3 linked regions of the Saccharomyces cerevisiae S288C genome follow. Changing the gene in region 2 together with the main gene of any one other region gives a genetic interaction. Each region holds a gene or a part of one and is shown on either strand. Other genes may lie near its edges. The genes, in order: PHO89, PHO91 and FEX1.

The links.
Region 1: mutations in PHO91 (region 2) and PHO89 are lethal when combined (synthetic lethality), as found in Saccharomyces cerevisiae (one study listed by BioGRID).
Region 3: mutations in PHO91 (region 2) and FEX1 together harm fitness more than expected from each alone (negative genetic interaction), as found in Saccharomyces cerevisiae (2 studies listed by BioGRID).

Annotation. Positions count from the first base shown.
Region 1 is NC_001134.8:794,540-802,620, forward strand, and holds PHO89 (Pho89p), read right to left. Parts: upstream 3,984-8,081; coding exon 2,259-3,983; downstream 1-2,258. Other genes in the region: cation-transporting P-type ATPase PCA1, read left to right, coding at 1-1,960; TYC1 (Tyc1p), read right to left, coding at 5,584-5,703; transcription factor MAL33, read left to right, coding at 5,984-7,390. UniProt on the Saccharomyces cerevisiae protein: Sodium-phosphate symporter. Active in early growth phase.
Region 2 is NC_001146.8:645,461-653,214, forward strand, and holds PHO91 (Pho91p), read right to left. Parts: upstream 6,253-7,754; coding exon 3,568-6,252; downstream 1-3,567. Other genes in the region: DEAH-box RNA-dependent ATPase PRP2, read right to left, coding at 1-1,490; uridine kinase URK1, read left to right, coding at 1,972-3,477; YNR014W (uncharacterized protein), read left to right, coding at 7,005-7,643. UniProt on the Saccharomyces cerevisiae protein: Vacuolar phosphate transporter that probably exports phosphate from the vacuolar lumen to the cytosol.
Region 3 is NC_001147.6:1,072,985-1,080,420, reverse strand, and holds FEX1 (fluoride transporter), read right to left. Parts: upstream 3,638-7,436; coding exon 2,510-3,637; downstream 1-2,509. Other genes in the region: phosphopyruvate hydratase ERR1, read right to left, coding at 1-145; HSP33 (glutathione-independent methylglyoxalase family protein), read left to right, coding at 1,163-1,876; YOR389W (uncharacterized protein), read right to left, coding at 4,334-6,208. UniProt on the Saccharomyces cerevisiae protein: Fluoride channel required for the rapid expulsion of cytoplasmic fluoride.

The sequences.
Region 1 (8,081 bases), on a different chromosome or scaffold from region 2:
GACCGCTTTATCCATAATATTGACGATCCCGATTCTCGTGATGGCTTGGGCTCCACAGCTTCGTGAAAAAATTTCCACTATCTCCGCGTCAATGGTGCTAGCAACTATTATTCAATTTGTTATTGCAGGACCGTTTTACTTAAATGCCTTGAAGAGTTTGATATTTTCCAGGCTCATTGAAATGGATCTACTAATAGTTTTAAGCACTAGCGCTGCCTACATATTTTCGATTGTATCATTTGGATATTTCGTTGTTGGACGCCCGTTATCTACGGAGCAGTTTTTTGAAACCAGCTCTTTGCTTGTAACTCTCATCATGGTTGGTCGCTTTGTGAGTGAACTAGCTAGACATAGGGCTGTAAAGTCAATATCAGTACGTTCCTTACAGGCCTCTTCTGCTATTCTGGTGGATAAAACTGGTAAAGAGACGGAAATTAATATTAGACTTCTCCAATATGGCGATATTTTTAAGGTTTTACCTGATTCAAGAATCCCAACTGATGGAACAGTCATTTCTGGGTCTTCTGAAGTCGACGAAGCGTTAATCACAGGTGAATCTATGCCAGTCCCGAAAAAGTGTCAATCAATTGTTGTTGCAGGATCGGTGAATGGCACTGGTACTTTGTTTGTGAAGCTGAGCAAGCTTCCAGGGAACAATACTATTAGTACCATAGCCACGATGGTTGATGAAGCAAAATTAACTAAGCCAAAGATCCAAAATATCGCTGATAAAATTGCAAGTTATTTCGTGCCAACTATCATTGGAATCACTGTCGTCACCTTTTGCGTTTGGATAGCGGTTGGAATCCGTGTGGAAAAGCAATCCCGCTCCGATGCCGTAATTCAGGCCATTATATATGCCATTACGGTACTTATCGTTTCGTGTCCCTGCGTGATTGGACTTGCCGTTCCTATCGTATTTGTTATTGCAAGTGGCGTCGCTGCGAAAAGAGGGGTAATCTTCAAATCAGCAGAGAGTATAGAAGTTGCTCACAACACTTCGCATGTTGTCTTCGATAAAACGGGTACCCTAACTGAAGGAAAACTTACTGTAGTACATGAAACTGTTAGGGGTGATCGTCATAATTCTCAATCTTTGTTGCTTGGATTAACTGAAGGAATAAAACACCCAGTTTCCATGGCAATAGCATCCTATCTCAAAGAAAAAGGTGTTTCTGCTCAAAATGTTTCTAATACAAAAGCTGTGACTGGTAAGCGGGTAGAAGGAACATCATACTCTGGTTTGAAGTTACAAGGAGGGAACTGTCGTTGGCTTGGTCATAACAATGATCCTGACGTTCGAAAAGCCCTTGAACAAGGATATTCTGTATTCTGTTTTAGTGTTAATGGTTCAGTCACTGCAGTTTATGCATTAGAGGACTCTTTACGGGCAGATGCTGTCTCCACTATTAACTTGTTACGCCAAAGAGGGATTTCACTACACATTTTATCAGGGGATGACGATGGAGCCGTTCGTTCTATGGCAGCCCGTCTTGGAATTGAAAGCTCCAATATTCGTTCTCACGCAACGCCTGCAGAAAAGAGTGAATATATTAAGGATATTGTCGAAGGAAGAAATTGCGATAGTTCTTCGCAGTCAAAAAGACCGGTTGTTGTTTTTTGCGGTGACGGAACAAACGACGCAATTGGTTTGACTCAAGCAACGATTGGAGTTCATATCAATGAGGGAAGTGAGGTTGCCAAGCTAGCTGCTGATGTAGTTATGTTAAAGCCAAAGCTCAACAATATTTTGACTATGATAACTGTAAGTCAAAAGGCCATGTTTAGGGTCAAATTGAATTTCTTATGGAGTTTTACTTACAACTTATTTGCTATCCTTTTGGCGGCTGGTGCCTTTGTTGACTTTCATATTCCACCAGAGTATGCGGGTTTAGGGGAACTAGTTAGTATCCTCCCTGTAATTTTTGTAGCTATACTTCTGCGTTATGCAAAGATTTAGTCCAGGTACTGCTGCTATTTGATTGTAGATTTTCTTTTTTCTTTTCTTTTTTTTTTTTGACGACTCTGTAATACTCTATTTATTATTTAGTTTAGTTTTCTATTTAATATGATGGAATTCATAAAAAAAAAAAATACACATAGCCATGCCAGGTAATTGCAGATCAACTGATAAATTAGAAAAAAATTAATGCATCTTTAAGGTTTTAAATTAGAAATGTTTTAACTTTAAAGTCACTGAGCAATAAAAGTTCTACCTAATGTTGTAAAACTGTATTCATAACCGAAACACATTATGATTATGTCATTTGGTATTCCACACCAAAGCGAGGAGCATTCAAAATGATACCATTTATGATACCGGCAATCAAACCAGCAATTGGTAAAGTTAAAAACCAACCAGAATAACACCAGGCTACCATTCTCCAATTAACTGATTTGAGATCCTTGTTACATAAACCAACAGCGACAATACCACCAACGGCGATCTGGGTTGTTGAGGTAGGAATACCTAATTGGGTAGCCATGACAGTAGTAATAGCAACAGCTAGTTCAATTGAAAAGCCTCTTGATGGCGACTGCAAAATCATCTTATTACCTAGATTTTTGATAATATTGTAACCATAAGTCCAGCAACCAATAACTAAGGCAACACCACCATAAGCCAGAACCCACACGGGAACTTCGGACTTTGCCCCAATAGTGTTAGTTTTCCAGATCACATACACAGCAGACAAAGGACCAGTAGCGTTGGCAACGTCATTAGCTCCATGAGCAAAAGACATAGTGGCTGCAGTAATGGCTTGGAGAACCGAATAGATATATTCTACTCTATTGTCGTAAAATTTAGATCTTTCGTACATTCCTTTCAGGTCACCAGATAACATATCTCTATCATTAACTTGAGCATGAATGACGTCTTGAGTCCAACCATGAGAGATTACTAACCAGAACAATAAGGGCCATTTTTTAGGTCCTTGCTTTAATAATGACCACCAATATTGTTTCGTTGACAACTTTGTTTCTGGTTCAGTTTCAGTTCTAACCAGGTCCACTTCCTGGATGTCTTCTTTGTTTTTGACGGAATCATTAGAATTACTCGCTGCCTTATTTTCTTCGTCTTCAACAGAAACAGTTGTTCCAAGATTTCTTCTGCCCTCGTAATAATCGATTGTTAATTGATGGCCTTCTGGCATTGGTGGGATATCATCAGTGGACTTAAAGTAAAAAGATGGACCTCTGAAAATATCAATCAACTTTAGTGTCCAATCTTGGTCCAAAACTTTTCTTCTGTAGAATGGGTAGAAAAAGATGAAGTAAACGATCGAAGCAATTGCACCTGTGAGAACAATAGATACGGCAGTTTCAGTTTCAGATAAATCGTCCAAGTGTAGGTTTGGAGAACCCTTCCAGACAATCAACATTGTTAAGATAGAGAAAGTGGCGAATACTAAAACACCAACCAGCAGTAAAGCATTCTTAATCGATCTTTCCAAAGACTTAACTTCAAGGACAGAAAACCTAGAAATTGAAAAAACTATAGCTGCGATCGCGCCTGCCAAAATCGGAGCAATGAACCATGACGCAATAATTTGAGAAACACCACTCCAACCCCAAACGACACCGTTAGCTCCACCGGCTGCAATCCCAGCGCCAATTGTACCACCAACAATGGAATGTGTAGTAGAAACTGGCATTCCGATTGCAGTAGCAAATGTTAACCAACAAGACGAGCCAATCAAAGCACTGGTCATAGTAAGCATTAAAACAGCGGGGTCGTTGGTAAAAATGGAGGAATCTATAATGTTGTTCTTGATAGTACCAGAAACTCTTGCGCCTGCCAAGACAGCACCCAAGAACTCACAGAGACCCGCCAAAACCATGGCTTGCCAGTATTTTAGAGATCTAGAAGAGATCGACGACGCGAATGAGTTCGCCACGTCGTTTGCCCCGATGTTAAAGGCATCCAAAAATGCAAATAACATGGCAATGGCAAAAATATAGTCAAATTGATGTAAAGCCATTTTTGCTTAATCTTTGTTTATATTGATTCGATTAGATACGCTCCAGTATTCTCACCTTTGATCTATGTCACTCATTCTATGACAATTCATGTAAAATAACCTCAATGTAAAGATCATCTTCAGCAGGTTTATATATAATTTTCTTCATATCGAAAACCGGGCTTAGTGACATGAATTGTTTGGAGATGTCCACCCAGTAGACATTGTAAAAAAAATCTGCTATTGACTGAGTTAATCTAATGATTTACATAATAGAAGGATCCAAAGTGGCTGTGACATCTAGTATTGATAGATTAGTATTATTACTATTTGTCTCCCACGTGCTGCATTGTCATATGCAATTTATTAAGATTACATAAACTCCTTTGTACGGTATATTCTTAAAGCCTTTCAATGACTCGGGCCAATTTTTAGCAATATTTCGACATTTAAGGGCCCACTAACAAATTAATGGCACAACGTGGGGATGACGAAAAAGCAGAAAAAGAAAAAAAAGGTCTATCGCACAGCCACACACCCTTGTGGTGAAGCCGTTTTGTGATCGGTGTGGCGCGATCTGTGAAATTTAAACTTTTTTGCGGGTGAAACCGAGATTTCTGAAACTAGATTTTCTGGCTTCGCCAAAGAAAGATGCATCGAATTAATGAAATTAAACGGATGTAAGGAATGAAATTATAACGATTCCGCTAATGTTCTTTACTGACGAGTGTCACTGAAGTACTTACTCGTGAACAAAAATTAACCTATATCAGTAATTTTGATATTGTTAAAAGTAGGTATCTCTATCAAAAGAGATTATAAGACCCATCGGCAAAACTCGAAATATCGTCTTGAGAAAATCATTATACAGTACATGGTGCAATTTTAAATGATTTTTAAATACTATTATATAATCGATACATTTAGTACACGCGAAGACAACGTAGTGTTGAGATTCAAAGAGGTTACAGTTGAATACGTGACAAAGCTGACGAGAGTACTGTGAATTCAACAAACCATAAATGGTCACTCCAAGTAACGGTATTGTGATTTCAACAGAAAACACAAGCATTGTGTTAGCGTGCTCGTAAAATATTATTTCAGCGGTGAAGCAGATATGCGTTAAAGGTGGGCTCGCTATTAAATCATGAACGAAAAAACAGTTATGTCGTTACTGGTGTGAGTCGATATTACGAAACCACTGGCAGGTAGATGGATAGAATGGGACTGATTGGAACAGCGCAAGTTTTTTTCCGTGGTCGGAATTCTCGTAGTAATATTGGAAAATAGTTGGAAGAAAAATTGTGTGAAAAAATACATGCTGAAATAGTCAAACGAAGAGAGGTGAAGAATAGATAAAGCTGTTGAGAGGCAAGACAATGTTTTCAAGATGATCAGAAAAGGATACGGTCCAATATCTATTTATATTCATTGCCCTACCGTGGTATGTTAAAAAAATATGTTACATTTATTGCTCCCATTGGATTTTGCACAGGTGTGAAAGAGCTCAGTTGTCAAGATTTAGTCATTAAGAAGGGCCGCAGCAGCTTTTTGTATAATAGAGCGTCTTTTTTGTTTGTGAAAAAAATTTTATGGTGAGATATTGTTCGATTCTACGAAGTCATTTTACTAGTTTATGGACTCTGATATAAGACAGAGTTGACAAGGAAATGGTGCCGTGATTGTTTCCGTGTACAGCTTTTGAGAACTTCCTTGAAAACCAATCATCTAGCACTTTCATTTCTGGGGAAAAACCTGGAACCAAATCTTGAAAAATAAATTCCCCAGAAGTTTTCCTTATTCCGTGTTCTAATCTTCTCGTTCACTTTGCAGTGACATTCCACGGCCATGCGCAATTTACCCCGCCCCCGGATTTTATTGTCCGTACCGCCATTTTTCAATAGATTAAAAAGGAACAAAAAATCATTTCAGAAGGTTTCTTTCTCGGGAAAACACTAGAGTGTAAATATTGAATATCAAACATCGAACGAGAGCATCTTGAAGATATTTATGTTCTAAATATGACTTTAGTCAAGTATGCATGCGACTATTGTCGTGTCCGTCGAGTAAAGTGTGATGGTAAAAAACCATGTAGTCGCTGTATTGAGCACAATTTCGATTGCACATATCAGCAACCATTAAAAAAAAGAGGCTCAAAGCCTATTGGAACTAGAAGCTTAAAGTATATACCAAAGGCCAAAATGTTTATAGATAATAAAAGTTGTACGGCAGCGGCAGAAATATTAATGAAGGTTCCTAAAAAGGTGATTGATCAGTGTTTGAGGCTTTATCACGACAATCTATATGTTATCTGGCCTTTACTCTCTTATGATGACCTTCACAAGCTTTTGGACGAAGAATACAATGACCATTACGTTTATTGGTTTCTCGTAGCTCTTTCAGCAGCCAATCTTAGCGATCTACAAAGCGAATTAGAATCTGAGGGGGGATTTTCGTTTACTGGAAAACAATTAGCCGTTCTCTGTATGTCCTCACGCCAACAATTTGATGACCTTAGCGGCAGAGACATTTTCCGAATTATGACATATTATTGCTTGCTACGTTGTTTTTCACAGTCTTCTGATGTAAGAAATTCATACAGACTTTGTCGTGAAGCTATTGGCCTTGTTATTGTAGCAGGGTTACATCGTGAAAAAGCATACGAATCACTATCATTTCGTGAGCAACAGCTTTTACGCAAGGTGTATTATTTGCTTCTCTTGACGGAAAGATACTATTCCGTATATGTTCATTGTGTTACAAGTTTGGATACCACAATAGCTCCACCTCAGCCAGAGTTCGTAACGGACCCTCGACTTTCTTTGGATAGCTTTTTTGAGATGATTAGAGTATTTACTGTACCAGGTAAATGCTTTTTTGATGCTTTGGCTACGGAGTCTACTAGCGGTTCTTGCACTGAAGACTCACTGAAAAAAATATGGAAAGAGCTTCACACAGCATCCCTTGAAATAGAACCATGGTCTTATGGCTATGTGGACATTTCATTTTCTCGACATTGGATTAGGGCGCTGGCTTGGAAGCTAGTGTTTCAGATGAATGGTACCAAGTTTTTCTCAAACGCCAATAATGCTCACATATTGGTCGAAATTGCAAAGGATATGCTGGACGACATATTCTTAACTCCAAACAACCTGTATGATGTACATGGTCCTGGAATACCAATGAAATCATTGGAAGTAGCCAATGCATTGGTAGATATCGTAAATAAGTATGATCACAATATGAAGTTGGAGGCTTGGAATATTTTGTGCGATGTATCCAAGTTCGTTTTCTCCCTGAAACATTGCAATCATAAAATGTTTCAAAGGTTTTCAACTAAATGTCAGAGTGCTCTAATCGATTTGCCTATCTCTAGACCACTGCGCCTAAATGATGATTCCAAAGATGAAGACGACATAATTCCTTAATTTATTGTTCACGCCGTTCACTTATACGAGATAGATATACTGATAGAGTGTGAGTGATATTCTTAAGTCTTGCTTTTCGAGGGTGTAAGAAGCTATGTTCTTCAGGCGAGATTATTCTACTCCTGCCTTACTTGTTTGTAATATTTAGTTCTGATGGTCATGATAATTCTATATACAGTTACATTAAGTATATACTTAAGCGGGCAGCTTACTAATATAAATTTTGTGGCATTTTTGTTGGGATATGAGAATCATGTATCGTTGATTTACAAAGCGAATTTACGTTACCAGGAATAGGGAATACTCTCTTGAATTCTAACATAAGCACAGAAATGCTGAAAGAATACGTCAAAAAGTAAATTTACAGAATTAAAAAAAAAATAATTGTTGCCGGAACATGAATAGAGTGTATCAATATACAATATAAAAATTCAAGCATTTTCATTAACGGGAATGAAAAAATTGTATATTAGTACTTCTTTTTGCAAGATATTTAAATCTAGGACCCTCATCACAATGATTCATTTAAATCATTAACGTTTTTTCAGAACAAAATAATAACCTCTAGTTGAAAAAACTTCAAAGCCGCAACAAAACCAAAAAAAAGTCATAATGTCGAGTAAAAATAAACTCGATGTGTTAAGTACTAGTTATATAAAATAAAATTAAATAACGCCGTATCTACCTACTG
Region 2 (7,754 bases):
ACTTTCCTACAATTTTCCGGAGTCGGCTGGAAAATTTTCAATTGCTGCTCTTGGGGTAAATTTGCGTATATAGGAGTTATAATCATTTGTTTTGTTCTAGAACCTAATTTAGACATGATCTCCTCCAGTTTGGTTTTTGTTCTTTCAATTTCTTCTTGCCCCGTTAAAAACACCAATATATCCCCCGGTAAACTTTGCGTAGTATGAATTTGAAAAATAGTTGTTATAGCGGCATGTATATAGTTTGCCTCCGGCTGTAATGTGTAGTGGATATCTACAGGATATCTTCTCCCAGGAACGTTGAAAATGGGACAATTATCAAAAAACTCTGAAAATTTTTTTGCGTTCATTGTTGCTGATGATATAAGCAATTTTAAAGTGGGCCTCTGCGGCAAAATATCTTTCAGCAAACCTATCAGGATATCTGTGGCTAGAGTACGTTCATGAGCTTCATCAATCATAATACAAGAATATTTGCTTAATTTGGAATCTGTAAGAAATTCTCTTAGTAACATACCATCCGTCATATACTTTAGAACCGTTTTATTTGGGGTTGTTTTGTCTTCAAAACGGATCTGATAACCCACTTCCTTCCCAAGCACAACATTCATTTCATCTGCTACTCTTGCAGCAACAGAAGTGGCCGCCACACGACGTGGTTGTGTTATGGCAATCTGTAACTTTCCCTGATCAGTGAATCCATCTTCTACCAAATATTGGGGTAACTGTGTGGTTTTACCAGAACCGGTTTCACCCATTATAATCAAAACTTGATTTTTTTTGATCTCTTGTAGTAGCTCATCCTTGTATTGATGTACAGGCAAAAGTTTTCTTGCCTCTTGTATAGTCAGTATACGCTTTTCCTCAGTTTCTAAAGCTTGTGCTAGACGTGCCTCATATTGAAGTTTCTCTTCAGGTAGTAAATCGTCCTCCTCATTAGTATAATCAATCATTGCATCTGTGTCGAACACATAATCGTACTTGTCAGAGCCTTCCAATGTTATATCATCAGGGTGATCGCTTTGCCCCGCCATAGCATTTCGCAATTGTTGTTCTTCCCACATGCGTTGTCTGTTTATTTTGTCAATTTCTTTTGCATTCTTTATTTTATGAGTAACTTCTACGTTAAATTTAGAATTAGAAGAGGCGTACTTAGTTTCATTCTCGGAGTCACCTAGTAGACCCTTCTTTGTAGTAAGTTCATTATTTGACGTTATTTTTTCATCATACTTTGATGACTTTTTTTGTGATCCAAGTTGTTCTCCTTTTAAATTGTTCTTTTCTGGACCTTGGTTCGTATTAGAAAAAACTTTATTGGGGTCATAGCGTGATCGTTTTAGCTGCAAGGCAGAGTTCTTATCCTTGGCCTCTTTGTCTTCTTCCTCACCCAAGGAAGAAGGCTCTATTCTTACTGCATTGTCATTCTGTCTTGTAACTTCATACGTTCGTTTCACTCTTCGCTTACCGGTTTCAGATGTAATACTTGACATGTGTTGCTATACACGCTTGTTATCTATATAGATGCCAATTAAACATATAGCAGCTATCCGTTATTACTTATACAATTGATTAATATCACTTTTTAATTGTCCGGGTAACTAACTGTCTTCCACTTTCAGCACGTTCTCGTCATCAGGTTGTATGGGCTAGTACTGTTTTGGCTACATTTGAGATACGAGCACTTAAAGAATTCTTGCATATTTTCGATGATTAGTCTTTAATTTTCCCACTTGTTCTCACTATTTCCTCTATTGTCTTAATACGCTCACATATCGAAGTTTTTTTTTCATGCGATGAGCTTCGAGATGAAAAAAGGAAACTGAAAAATTTAGATCGATAAGATAAGAGATGTGATTTTTTTTTTTTTTCGTAAGGCTGTAGGCCTTGGATAACGTCTTATTTACTATTTATATGCGACATCTTCGATAATTTCATACGTTTAATTTCGAACTCGCATTTATTTTATTTATTATGTCCCATCGTATAGCACCTTCCAAAGAACGATCTTCATCATTTATTTCAATTTTAGACGATGAAACAAGAGACACATTGAAAGCTAATGCAGTCATGGATGGTGAAGTAGATGTCAAAAAAACAAAAGGAAAAAGCTCTCGGTATATCCCACCATGGACAACTCCATATATAATAGGTATAGGTGGTGCTTCAGGTTCAGGCAAGACAAGCGTTGCTGCTAAGATTGTGTCGTCAATTAATGTTCCCTGGACAGTATTAATATCTTTGGATAACTTTTACAATCCATTAGGCCCAGAGGACAGAGCCAGAGCCTTTAAAAATGAATACGATTTCGACGAGCCAAATGCCATCAACTTAGATTTGGCATATAAGTGCATTTTGAACTTAAAGGAGGGCAAAAGGACAAATATCCCAGTTTATAGCTTCGTCCACCACAATAGAGTTCCTGATAAAAATATAGTCATATACGGGGCCAGTGTGGTAGTTATCGAAGGGATCTACGCCCTTTACGATCGCCGATTGCTGGATTTGATGGACTTGAAAATTTATGTTGACGCTGATTTGGATGTCTGCTTAGCAAGAAGATTGTCGAGAGATATAGTTTCCAGAGGGAGAGATTTGGATGGTTGTATTCAACAATGGGAGAAATTTGTGAAACCAAATGCGGTAAAGTTTGTGAAACCAACAATGAAGAATGCAGATGCTATCATTCCATCGATGAGTGATAATGCTACAGCGGTAAATTTAATCATTAACCACATCAAGTCAAAACTGGAACTAAAATCAAATGAACACTTAAGAGAGCTAATCAAATTGGGCTCTTCTCCTTCACAAGATGTGCTTAATCGTAACATAATTCATGAATTGCCGCCCACCAACCAAGTTCTTTCGCTGCATACTATGCTTCTAAATAAAAATCTAAATTGCGCGGACTTTGTTTTCTACTTTGACAGGTTAGCAACAATTTTGTTATCATGGGCACTTGATGACATTCCTGTAGCACATACGAACATAATTACACCTGGTGAGCATACCATGGAAAACGTTATTGCCTGTCAATTCGATCAAGTTACAGCTGTTAATATTATTCGATCTGGCGATTGTTTTATGAAGTCTTTGAGAAAGACGATCCCCAATATCACAATTGGTAAATTGTTGATTCAGTCCGATTCACAAACTGGGGAACCTCAACTGCATTGCGAATTTTTACCCCCAAATATAGAAAAGTTTGGCAAGGTTTTCTTAATGGAAGGTCAAATCATAAGTGGTGCGGCCATGATCATGGCCATCCAGGTGCTTTTAGATCATGGTATTGATTTGGAAAAGATTAGCGTGGTGGTTTATTTGGCCACTGAAGTTGGTATCCGACGTATATTAAATGCATTTGATAACAAAGTCAACATTTTTGCTGGTATGATCATCTCCAGAGAAAAGTTACAAAATCATCAATACAAATGGGCATTGACCAGATTTTTTGATTCAAAGTATTTTGGTTGTGATTGAGAATAATTAGAGGCAATATAAAGTAAAATTAAATAATAGTGCACGTATACATACTATATTAGTAACCTTTCATTCTCTCTATGGATAATCTTAAAATCCCATTACTTTCAATATGCCATAACCTACTGTAACAATAGCGGCATAACTTAACAAACTGGCTGGTACACCTCTCGTAATAAATGTACCCACGGTCAAATATCTATCACCAACTTCATCAATCATTGAAATGGCAGTCACGTTGGGGAAACCAGAGGTTGGAAGACCCATAGCACTAGAGCATAATAGGGCGGCTATAACGATCAATAGTCTAGAATGATCACCTGAAGGTAGATTGGAACCGATCTCACTCATTAATGGTACGATGATCATTGCCGCGACGGTATGGGAGACAAAAGTGGCCATTACAAGAATCACTAGACCGAAGATCAACACAATAATGAAGATTGGTTCATGCTCAACCTGCGCCTTAATTAACTGTGCCATTGTAGACAATAAACCGGATGAGCTTACCGCCTTACCTAGGGTGGTACCTCCCATGGCCAAAACAACGATTGTCCACATGAAATTATTGAAATCATCCGAAGTTAGAAGACCTGTACCGAAGAAGACTACTATAGGTATAATAGATATGATTCCCATTTCACCAAAGATACCGGAGATTTGGTTTGAAAGACACCAAAGAACAATTGTTATAATGCAAACTAAAGTGACAAACCATTGCTTCAGAGTGAATGGATCACGGGATGGATGCAATTGCAAAATTTTCACATTTGGCTCAGGAGGGAAGGTTATGATCAATAGCACCCAAATTGCCATGACACAAATAAAGCACACAGGTAGCGCAATCATAAACCATTCAGCCCAAGATGGTGAAGGGTCCATTATACCAATAGAAAAAATGTTTTGAGGAGAAGCGATGGGAGAAGACATACCACCGATATTGGAGGCAAGAGCGATACCAAGAATTAGAGCTTTGGCATAGGAACAATTTCTTGGCAGTGTTCTGAGCAAAGGTTGAACAATTGAATAGCAAAGAACGGGGGCAGCAACATTAGAAACCCACATGGAAACAAAGAGCGCCACAAACATATTTGTTAAAAGAATAAAATGTGGGTTTGTACCGGCGGATGCCAAAATATGCGTAGAAAGGACTTTGGCAATGTTGTACTTGGAAAGGGCGGCTGCTAAAGTAAACCCACCCAGCAAAAGCATGATGACACTCGACCACATCGTTGATAAGATGAACTGAGAGGAATCACGGGGAGACATTGGTTGGGAGGTGATAGGGTCCTTGATAACAGGGAACACTACAATAAGCAGAGGAATCATTAGAGAAGTCACGAAAAGGGGGATGGTCTCAGTGGCCCATAATAAAGATGCATATATTAAGATGGCGAAACAGTTTTTCTGTAAGGAATCCTGCGTAAAAGGAGTCAAATTAAAAGTTAATAATGCAATGAAACATGAGGTGATTAACAGAAACTTCAGCAGGGAAGTTTGGCCCATGATAAATTGCAACCATTGCTTGGGTGGTAAATGCATGAGTTCACGGAAAGTTAGGGAATCCGTTGATGGAGCGATGATACCGGCGCCACCACTCGACATTGCCATGGATTCAGTAATGTTGGCATTGGGGCGCAATTGACTGGAACTCAACTTTGAAAACTTCTTGTTGTCAGTCTTGGCAGATTGGTACTTTCTCTCCAAATTCATCATATCTTTCCAAACGGTGTTTCTTTCCCAAACTACGTGATCTCTCAAATGAGAGGATAATTCACGCTCAGCATCCTGGAAATCGAGGACTTCTTGTCTGTTGCCATCTTCGTCTTCTTCATTACCGCTGCTGTTTTCGTCATTGTTGATTCGGTCAGCGTCCAAGTTAAACGTATTAGATGGTCGACGCGTGCCCTTGTTCAAGCTAGCGTAAGTGAGGATGGTCTCGGTAATGTGATGCTGAATCCTATTTATTGTAGCAGGATTGAAAACATGCGAATGGAATTTGATATAGTTCAAGTAGTTCTGCTTCAAGTTCGTATTTAAGGACTTGTCAAATTTCTTGCAGATCTTGGAGAACCCGGTCTGGTTCAACTCAATAAAGTCCTTCAACTCGGACAACTGGGTGTAGATCGATATCAATCTTTTCTTTAAAGAGAGCCTATGTTGGGTAAAAGGAGAAAGATACACAGGGTTAGAGTTAGAAAGCGACACTGAAGCGGAGGCCAGGTTTTGCATTGAGTTACCATTATTAGTCGTGTTCGAGACCTGCGTGTGGATGACGGGTGCAGAGTCAATCGACATGTCTGTCAGAGAGGGGTTGGAGTCCGTGGAGGAGACACTACTAAACCTTCTTTGGCGTTGTTGTGACTTAGACTTCCTGTTTCTTGCAACACTTTGCAGTTGATGCTGTTGCTGCTGATTAAACAATTGGGTGGCCTTGTTCGTGTTTTCCAGTTCCATGACATCGTCCTTCAATTCGTTGTAGTTGGCGATAAGACCTGTTTCTTGAGATATGTAGAATTTATCAATTTTTTTCAATTCTTGGTTTAAGGCAGCAACAAATTTAGAGATGTAGAATTGATCATCTGGAGAAGCATCTGCCAATAGCGGCAGATTTTCATCGTTGGCGTCATGTGGCTCCACAACATGGTGCTTATTGTTACTGTACAGCTTATCTTTTTGCAAAGAATAGATCAATTTTTTCAGCTGCGAATAGGCCAGATACTTGGTAGACCATTCTGGTACAGAATTGAATTGTAAGGAATGCGAGAACTTCATGTCAGTCTGCAAGTTACCGTGTCACCTTCACAGTTTTCTTTTTATTTGACTAAGTAAAAAAAGAAAAGAAGTTATTTTTACTAAGATTTTGAGCGGCATTTTTCCTAGTTACTTATCAATTTTCATACATGCAAGACATACTCAATTTTTTTTTTTTTTTTTCAGTTTTAAAATTAGTCCTGATCAAAAAGCCATCACGTGGATCCCCGAAAAAAAACGGATCCGGGTAACCAGAAGTATTTTTTTCAAGGGAATAAAAGTTACCCTACCAAAATAAAAAAATTCAAGTAGGGTAATAAAGTTCCACCCCCCATCAGGATTATCGTTCTCTGACATCACCCACTCTCTGCTCGCTCTCTGCTCGCTCTCTGCTTTCTTTCCCCACGCCGGAGTGATTAAGGCGGATAGGCCCACCTGAACACCTCGCTCAGAACATCAGCGAGAGTTCCAGCCCCTCTACCCCTTACCTCTCGCCGCCCCTCATTTCGGATCAAAAGCAAAAGAACAAAGGGCCTTCGCAGAAACGGAAGGTTTCGACCCCTCGGTGCCGTTTTAATTTCTTTTTCTGGCCAGTTAAGCTTTTTGACTTTCTCGAATCAGCCCAGTGCAAAACAGTACGCATACGAGCACACAAATGTATATATATGTGTATGTATATATGTATATAGGTATGTGTGTGTACATCCGAAGCGTAAACTAATGATCTGCAAGTTTCAGATTTTTTCTCGAAAAATATAACTAATAAACGTTCCATGTCGTCCACGGATATCAAGCCTTGTGCCGTGAACATCCCTGTTTCCGCTCACATCACCTTCCACTACAAGTCGATCGCGGACAGAAGCAGCAGCAGGAGCAGCAGCAGCAGCTCCTGCTCCTCTGCTACATCTAAAGCCTGCTCCCCCAGAGGCAGCTCCGTCGGCTTACCGCCTGCTTTATCAACTGACAATGAAATCGTCGAGACTGTACTTAATGTTTCCGCTCCCGTTGTAGCAGACCCTACGCGGCCCTCATTGTTCAAGAGTAACTACACCGCAGCCTCGTGCTTGACTTCTGACCCAACCTCGCCGTCACTACTGCCCTCTTCTAGGCGCAACTCTGTATTGCCGGCAAGCGACTTCCACCAATGCGCGCATCACAAAAACTTTCAAAGAAGGGCCAGTGAGCCACAACTGCCCTCCTTCGATAATCGCTCGTCGTCCGAGATGAAAAGGTCCGTCTCGTACGCCCAGCATAGCATGATGTTCCCCATCAGTGACCAACAGGAGCCGCAAACATCCGCGTCTCCTAACGACCACTCAGACCCGTCTTGTCCTTGCAACAGACATCACCACAGAAGAAACTCGGTCGCCGTCAAGTTTGACAAACCATTGTATGAGAGACTAGAGACGTAGTTATCCATTCGTCCATCCATCTGTCTATCGTCACACAGCATTTCCCATCCCTCCTCTATACATACATACATATACAGTTCTGCGTGGTCTACGCAGCCATGTATATATATA
Region 3 (7,436 bases), on a different chromosome or scaffold from region 2:
GTTCAACAGCTTCGTGAATGCCGGTGGAGGCACCAGATGGGACGATCGCTCTGAAGAGACCATTCTCTGTTGTAATTTCAACCTCAACAGTCGGATTGCCGCGAGAATCATACACCGTTCTAGCATGTACCTTCGTGATGGACATATTTTTATCGTTGAGATTCGATTTTTTCCTCACCTTGTTTTGGTATTTCTATTGCAAGACAAAGTGAAAGAAGAAGAAGTGGTGGTAAAAAATAACTATATATAATGAAAATTGTAACCTGGTGGGAGTGCAAACTGTAAGTGATAACCTGCCAGATCCATGTTTCTATTATATACCTAAGAACCAGCCAAGTTAGGTAAACGAGGAGTCTTTCAATATCTCTTTTCTAGTGAGAATGTTATTTAGGTAAATGAACAAGTTACCACTATACTACTCACCCCCTACACTTTGTTTGTGACCTCTCCCCTTATCCAGTTCATCGAAACTTTTTTTTCAACTTGTGGCGATCTGTGACATTGTCTACTACAAGAACCGATTTTGGTTGATGTCTGTAAAAAAAACAACCTTACCTTTCCAGATCCAACTTTCCAGGAGAGCTGCGTGAGTTTCAAATATTTACCATGTCGGAGAAAGCTCCCAAGTACTTCCTTGTTCTTGTCATTTTTTCCTTATCTCCATCCTTTAAGGAAGGTATTTCCATTATGCGATTCTATAAATCCGAGCATGCGAGTATTTCTTTTCTTGGCGCGGAGTCGCTGATGACGCAATAGGCACATTCACGAACATCCAGGACTGGTAATCTTCTCGTCTTAAAGAAAATCCAACCACCAGTAAGAAACTCTTGGGTAAAATGGGGTATCTGAAATATTGCATAGCTGCAAATGAAGATATTCAGTATCAGCATAGGTATTTTTATGGAGGATAGGTAAAGAGAAAGAAAAAAAAAAATATCTTTCTGACTGTCGTTCTTGCAATTATCACAATTAGGGGACTTTAAAACCGATACTTGATATATGAGCACAGTCAAGGGGTCGGTTCTTGAGATTTTAATGGAAAACAGGAAAGTTGCACATACAGGTCTGCTTTTCTTTGCTTGCTCCAGACAACGATACTTAGAACTAAAACATATTTCTAGAACACTTTTCTCCTTCATTCAAAAAGAAAACTGGCCTTGCAATGACTCCAAAAAGAGCGCTAATATCTCTTACTTCATACCACGGTCCCTTCTACAAAGATGGTGCGAAAACAGGCGTTTTTGTAGTTGAGATTTTGCGATCGTTCGATACATTCGAAAAGCATGGTTTCGAAGTGGACTTCGTTTCTGAGACTGGTGGATTTGGCTGGGATGAACATTACTTGCCAAAGAGCTTTATTGGTGGCGAAGATAAGATGAACTTTGAAACGAAAAATTCCGCCTTCAATAAGGCGTTAGCGAGGATCAAGACCGCAAATGAAGTCAACGCCAGCGACTATAAAGTATTCTTTGCATCTGCTGGACATGGTGCTCTATTTGACTATCCCAAAGCTAAAAATCTGCAAGATATTGCATCCAAGATATATGCCAATGGGGGTGTGATCGCTGCCATCTGTCATGGACCGCTCCTTTTCGATGGATTAATAGATATCAAAACAACAAGACCATTAATCGAAGGCAAAGCTATAACAGGTTTCCCACTCGAGGGTGAAATCGCCCTGGGAGTTGACGACATCTTGAGGAGCAGAAAATTGACAACGGTTGAACGCGTTGCAAACAAGAATGGAGCCAAGTACTTGGCGCCAATCCATCCCTGGGATGACTACTCTATTACAGATGGAAAGCTAGTTACGGGTGTTAACGCAAATTCTTCCTATTCGACCACAATTAGAGCTATAAACGCATTATATAGCTGAAACAAAAGACAAGGGAATTGTTGAAGGGGAGGCTTTTAATGACTTTCAGTTTCTGTGAAGAGAAGGCTAACAGCTCAATGGTTCGAAAGGTAAAGAAAACGGCAGGTCGGTAGCACTCGATTTTGCTAGAATGGAAATCATATAGAGAACAATTGAATAGTAGGCCTTGGTTTTTAGTGTTGTATTCATCATGGTCATATGTGACATAGGTAATGTACATATATATATAAAAAAAAAAAAAAGCAATGCTGTGAGATCATTCGTTACTTACGAAATACGCAGATTGCAATTTGAAATAAGCTGTGTTTTCTTTTTTTTCCTTTTTTTTTCTTTTTTTTGGCTTGTTATATACAACTTTTTTCTATTTCTGTTCTTTTTATGAGTAATTAATTGGTACATGGGAAATAAATATGAATTATATTAAATGAAGTAAAAGTAAAAGAAAACGGGGAAATTTATCGTTTTGTAGTAAATAGATGATGGAACGCATTCATAAAATCTCACAAAATATTACAATAAACCGCAGTAGTGGGTAAAAATGTATTATACAACGTCTAAAATCTTGAAAATGAATTAAAAAAAAAAAAAAAAAAAGTGGGATGATTATGCAGGGAAAAGTATAAAGAAAAGATCCTAACAAATCGGGTTGGTCAATCCTCTAGTCCAAGCATAGGATCCGAGAGTTATCACCAATAAGCAATATGAAATTGCAATCGAAACAGTATAATAAATAAGCATGTTAATAAATGATAGCTTATACCCTTCATTGATAAACGTGCTAATGGTACTCAAAGTGCCGCAAAATCCGGATATTAACGCAGAAACAATATGACATGAATTCAACGAGTTCACAATTGGAACGTCCGTAGAAAAGTGTTTTTTACCACGTTGCACCATGGTAAATATGCCAATCAATAAAGTGGCGAAAACGTTTGCCAAGAAAGTACCCAATGGAAACTTTTTGTTTGTTTTATTAAACATTTCTGCCAACCAATATCTTAGGAAACCAGCGAAAATTCCAAATAGACATGGTAGTGTCCACTTGCCCCTCGAATAGTTCTCATAATACGCACACAGCACCACAAACAAAATAATTAATGGAAAAGCTAGTGCATACGCGAGTTTATCCACAATATCAAAAAATTTCTTAAAAAATGGTGCTGGAGTTTTGAATTTAAACTCTAGAATATTTTTTTCCATTTCTTGTGTATCAACATCACCAGCATTTTCCTTTACAGTGTCTGAGGGAGGGGTATATGGCTTCGAAAACGAACTAGATCCATAAGCAACAATAACCTCCTTACCAAGTTGCCTACCGAAAATAAGACTACCCATGGAAACCATAAGATGAACGAGCAAGACAGATAAAAACTCCATTATACCGTAAGCTCTGTTCGGCAGTTTTGTGTGGTTAGCGATATTACCGTTAGTTAAGTTTGTAGAGTGTTCGAACATCTCTAGCAGCATACTAGAAAAGGAAGACAGGGCACCACAGTACCCAGTAGTTACACCTAAAAACAAGACTTGGTGATCTTTCATCCAAGTGTAAGCATTTAAAGATTGCATAATCCCCATTAGCATGCAGGATGAACAATTAGACCAGAGAACGGTCGGAGCAGTAACGAAGGCCGGAGTGTAGGTGGAAAGCGCCGTTATAGCCTGACGTGTTTCAGTACCTAATATGCAGAACGTGGTGAATGTACAAAAAACATGAATATAATGGCTCAACTTGTGATTTGATATGACCGGATTGAAAATCATCAGAGCATTACACGCTCGATTAAATAATTAAATAACTGCAGATTCTTGAGCCACCAGAGGCTAAATAATAATGGCGGCAATAAATATAATCCATTAGTACTTATTTCAGTTGTTTTTTGTTTTATTTTTTCCGTATCTCTTCTGTATCTCTTCCATCATTGCGTCAAAAGTGATTTACACTTCTACATGAATCGCGCCACTTTATGTCAGTGAATCTTTCATACATCGCAACTCCTCACTGACAGTGACTCTAGCATAGTCACCATCTTTCGATATACCCATCAAAGTGCACGATTCTCCTCCCCTGTTATACAATCGTAACGTAATATTGACATGTATTCGTAGCTCCGCTGCCAACTAATTTTCAGATCGTTCATTGTACATAAACCAAGCGCTGTTGCTTTACTTTATGATATTGCTGCTGAGCTCCCTTGTCTTTCATACGACGTTTTATCTTGATTTCATATCTTTTTTTTTTGGTAAAATAGAAAATACTCAACAGATATCTGATATGTATATAAACACTAAATAAAGAAAATCTTAAATCTTGCTGGCATGACTGTCGCTGTGTCTCAAATCTCTTAGTAATTCATAGATGTGTATCACCCCAAATCTCAAAAACTTCATAATCATTATTAGATTATCTAGAAATCATACCCTTTATACTGTCCCACAATGGCCTTCTCACAGGAGGCGCTAATGATTACGATTAACCATCAAATCATTTATATTGATACACTGTAGTTTACTGTTAATAACCAACCTTTGTCGAGATTCATCAAAGTGGGTTCCAAATCCCTCATTGTGGGAACCTGGTTCAGTCATACCCATTGGAGATGGGCCCCAGGAAGGAGTGTAACAAACTTCATCCCAATTGCATTGTCTCTCACAACGGTAATTTAGTTCAATCCACCCTAGAGATTCAATTAAACCATCGATAGTGGAGCGAGCCGTTTCGACATTCTTTATTAAGTCGCTGGAAGTTGTGTTATCTGTCATAAAAGAGTAGACTTCGGGTATCAATAAATCATTCACTTTATAAATGGCATCAACAATTTCTCCGACCACGCTGACAGCAGATGACCAAATCAAAAAGTCTGCATCCGTTTTTAAGGCCTGGTATGGGCTCACATATTGGTAGACAGCAAAGTCTTTCCCGCTACCGAATTCATCACTGTTGTTGCTTGCAGGCTCAAACCTTAAACAAAAGTTCAATGTGAGTGCTGTTGCATTGATGGCAATTGACTCATTAATATCACCATTGCTGTTCAGTATGTTACTAACAGATTTTAGTAATGGAGCAAATTTAAGGACAAGCTCATCAAATGCTAACTGCCAATCCATACTTTGCGTGGCATCAAATCCGACTTCCAGAGCCTTTTCTAAGTCATCTACCATGTCCAATTGCTTTTCCCATGTCATTCCTTCATCGAGTAATCTTCTGTTGTTAGGATCAGGAGCAATGTAAGTCCTGTTTATCCCGCTCACTAGGTACCTATAGTCGATATGGATTCGATGCTCCCCGTTGTCATGCGCTGTACCCGCTCTCAACTGATTGAAGCTCTTAACTGCGTTGAAATTAGAAAAAGTCTTCTCCCAACCATCTTCTCTTTCCAGAATCGCCTTTTGGTCATCTGTTAGCTGATCTTCAACTAGGTTTCCATTTTCATCCAGAGGCCAACCTTCCTCTTTCGATATAACGGTAGGTGCTGGTAAGCCTAGGTACTGGTTAGGCTGGACCATTTCTAACATTGAAACAAGTTCGACGTTATCAGCCGAAAAATCACACAAAACGACCTCAAAGCCAACCTCTACCCTGATAATTCCGTCAAGCCCGAATGGCTTCCCCCATTTGCATATTCTAGCAGCGTAGAGTCGTTCGGCCATTCGTTCGTTTTCACCATCATCTGTAAGGTTCAATTTCTCTTTAATAACATTTGACAACATTAGCTGCGTGTCCATCTCTCCTGAGTCAGTTTTTGCAGCAGAAGCCCCATCAAGATAGAGAAATTTGTTGAGGTCCCGTGCTGCTCTATAGGTAAGCATTTTTTGTGAACCTCGATCTTTTTCGTCTGGTGGTGGTGGTGGTGGTGGCCCTTTTGGATGATCACCATGGGTGCCATTGCCGAACCTCCCATGCCTTCTTTCCAAAGATTTTCTCCCATAGGATGGTGACCTCAAGCCGAAAGAGTAGCTGAATTCGTGGTCCATAGCCAGCCATTCGAAGGTAGTTGGCACTTTTGATCCGGCATGGTACATTAAAGTTCCTTTGGGAATTACAGCGGGAAAATAAGATACTCCGACAGGATGTATATCCGATGGAGACTGTCTTAAAGCAGCTCGAATGGAATTAAAGATAGCCGTGCTGTTATCAAAATCAATGTCTCTGACAAACTCATGGTAATTATCCCATCGTATAGAAGGTGTGTCTGTGATTTTGGTTGCAGGTTGCTTGTGTGGTAGGGCAGTTGACACTATGCCATAAGATTCAGATAATTTCCAACAGAAACCAAGCAGCACAATGAGCAGTACGCCTACGGTGGCTGCGGTACCTTGACGGTGGAATCTCATTATTTATGTAAACAATTATAAATGGGCTCTTCGAGAACTGAGGCCATAGAATTTTTTTTTTTTATGAATTTTTTTTATCATCCTAATACTTTTTGTCTTTTAAGAGTGAAGAGCCGCAAGTTTCTTTTTTTTTTTATTTTGTTTTTAATTTTTTTCTTGGCATAGAATTTTTACACCCCGATCTTTTTTTTACATACGTAGTTCATTGCCGCTGATTACTGCATCGTCTCGCTTTGCCCGGAGAACGGTTGTTAACTTGTGTTTAATGTGGTGTAAAGACAATGTCAATGCAAGTGACATGAACACTGTAATACATCACATTGGTAAACAAAGCTTGAATCGTGAACCTTTCTCTAAAAATTTCGATAATATGCATAAAGGTTCTTGAAGCTCCCCTTGTTCAAGTGGTTTATTTTTCTATAGATATTTACACTCCGCAAGTGCAAAAAAAAAGCATTATCGCTAACGATCAAGAGGAACTGAGACCTTATTAGTTGTCTTTGTTGGCGTAACATAAATTTCTTAGGAAAAGAGAAAATTATCTCGAAGGCAAAAATAAACCAAGCCTCGAGTTTAATGGTTTTCTAAAAAACACTTTAAAAACAGATCGCCATAAAAGGAGAAGCTCCGTAGGAGACCGTTTTCGAAACCTATGTAGAAATAAAGGGAAAGCTCCAACGGTTTGGATAAATCTTTAGAAGCATAGAGTTTATACAACATTCAGTACGAAATGTACTCTCGAAACGTTCTCTTTTCACGGTGCTTAGTAGCAGAAAAAAGTGTCGGAAATTACCTATTTTGTCACCACTCGAGGATAGGCTTGAAAGAGAGTTTTAACCCCAACTTTTCTATTTTGCACTTGTTTGGCTATGGTTTAAAACATTCTGTTTGGACCAACAGCCCAAGCGGCTTATCCCTTTTCTTTTTTTCCCTTATAATCGGGAATTTCCTTACTAGGAAGGCACCGATACTAGAACTCCGAATGAAAAAGACATGCCAGTAATAAAACTATTTTGATGTTATGCGGAATATACTATTCTTGGATTATTCACTGTTAACTAAAAGTTGGAGAAATCACTCTGCACTGTCAATCATTGAAAAAAAGAACATATAAAAGGGCACAAAATTGAGTCTTTTTTAATGAGTTCTTGCTGAGGAAAGTTTAGTTAATATATCATTTACGTAAAATATGCATATTCTTGTATTGTGCTTTTTTTATTCATTTTAA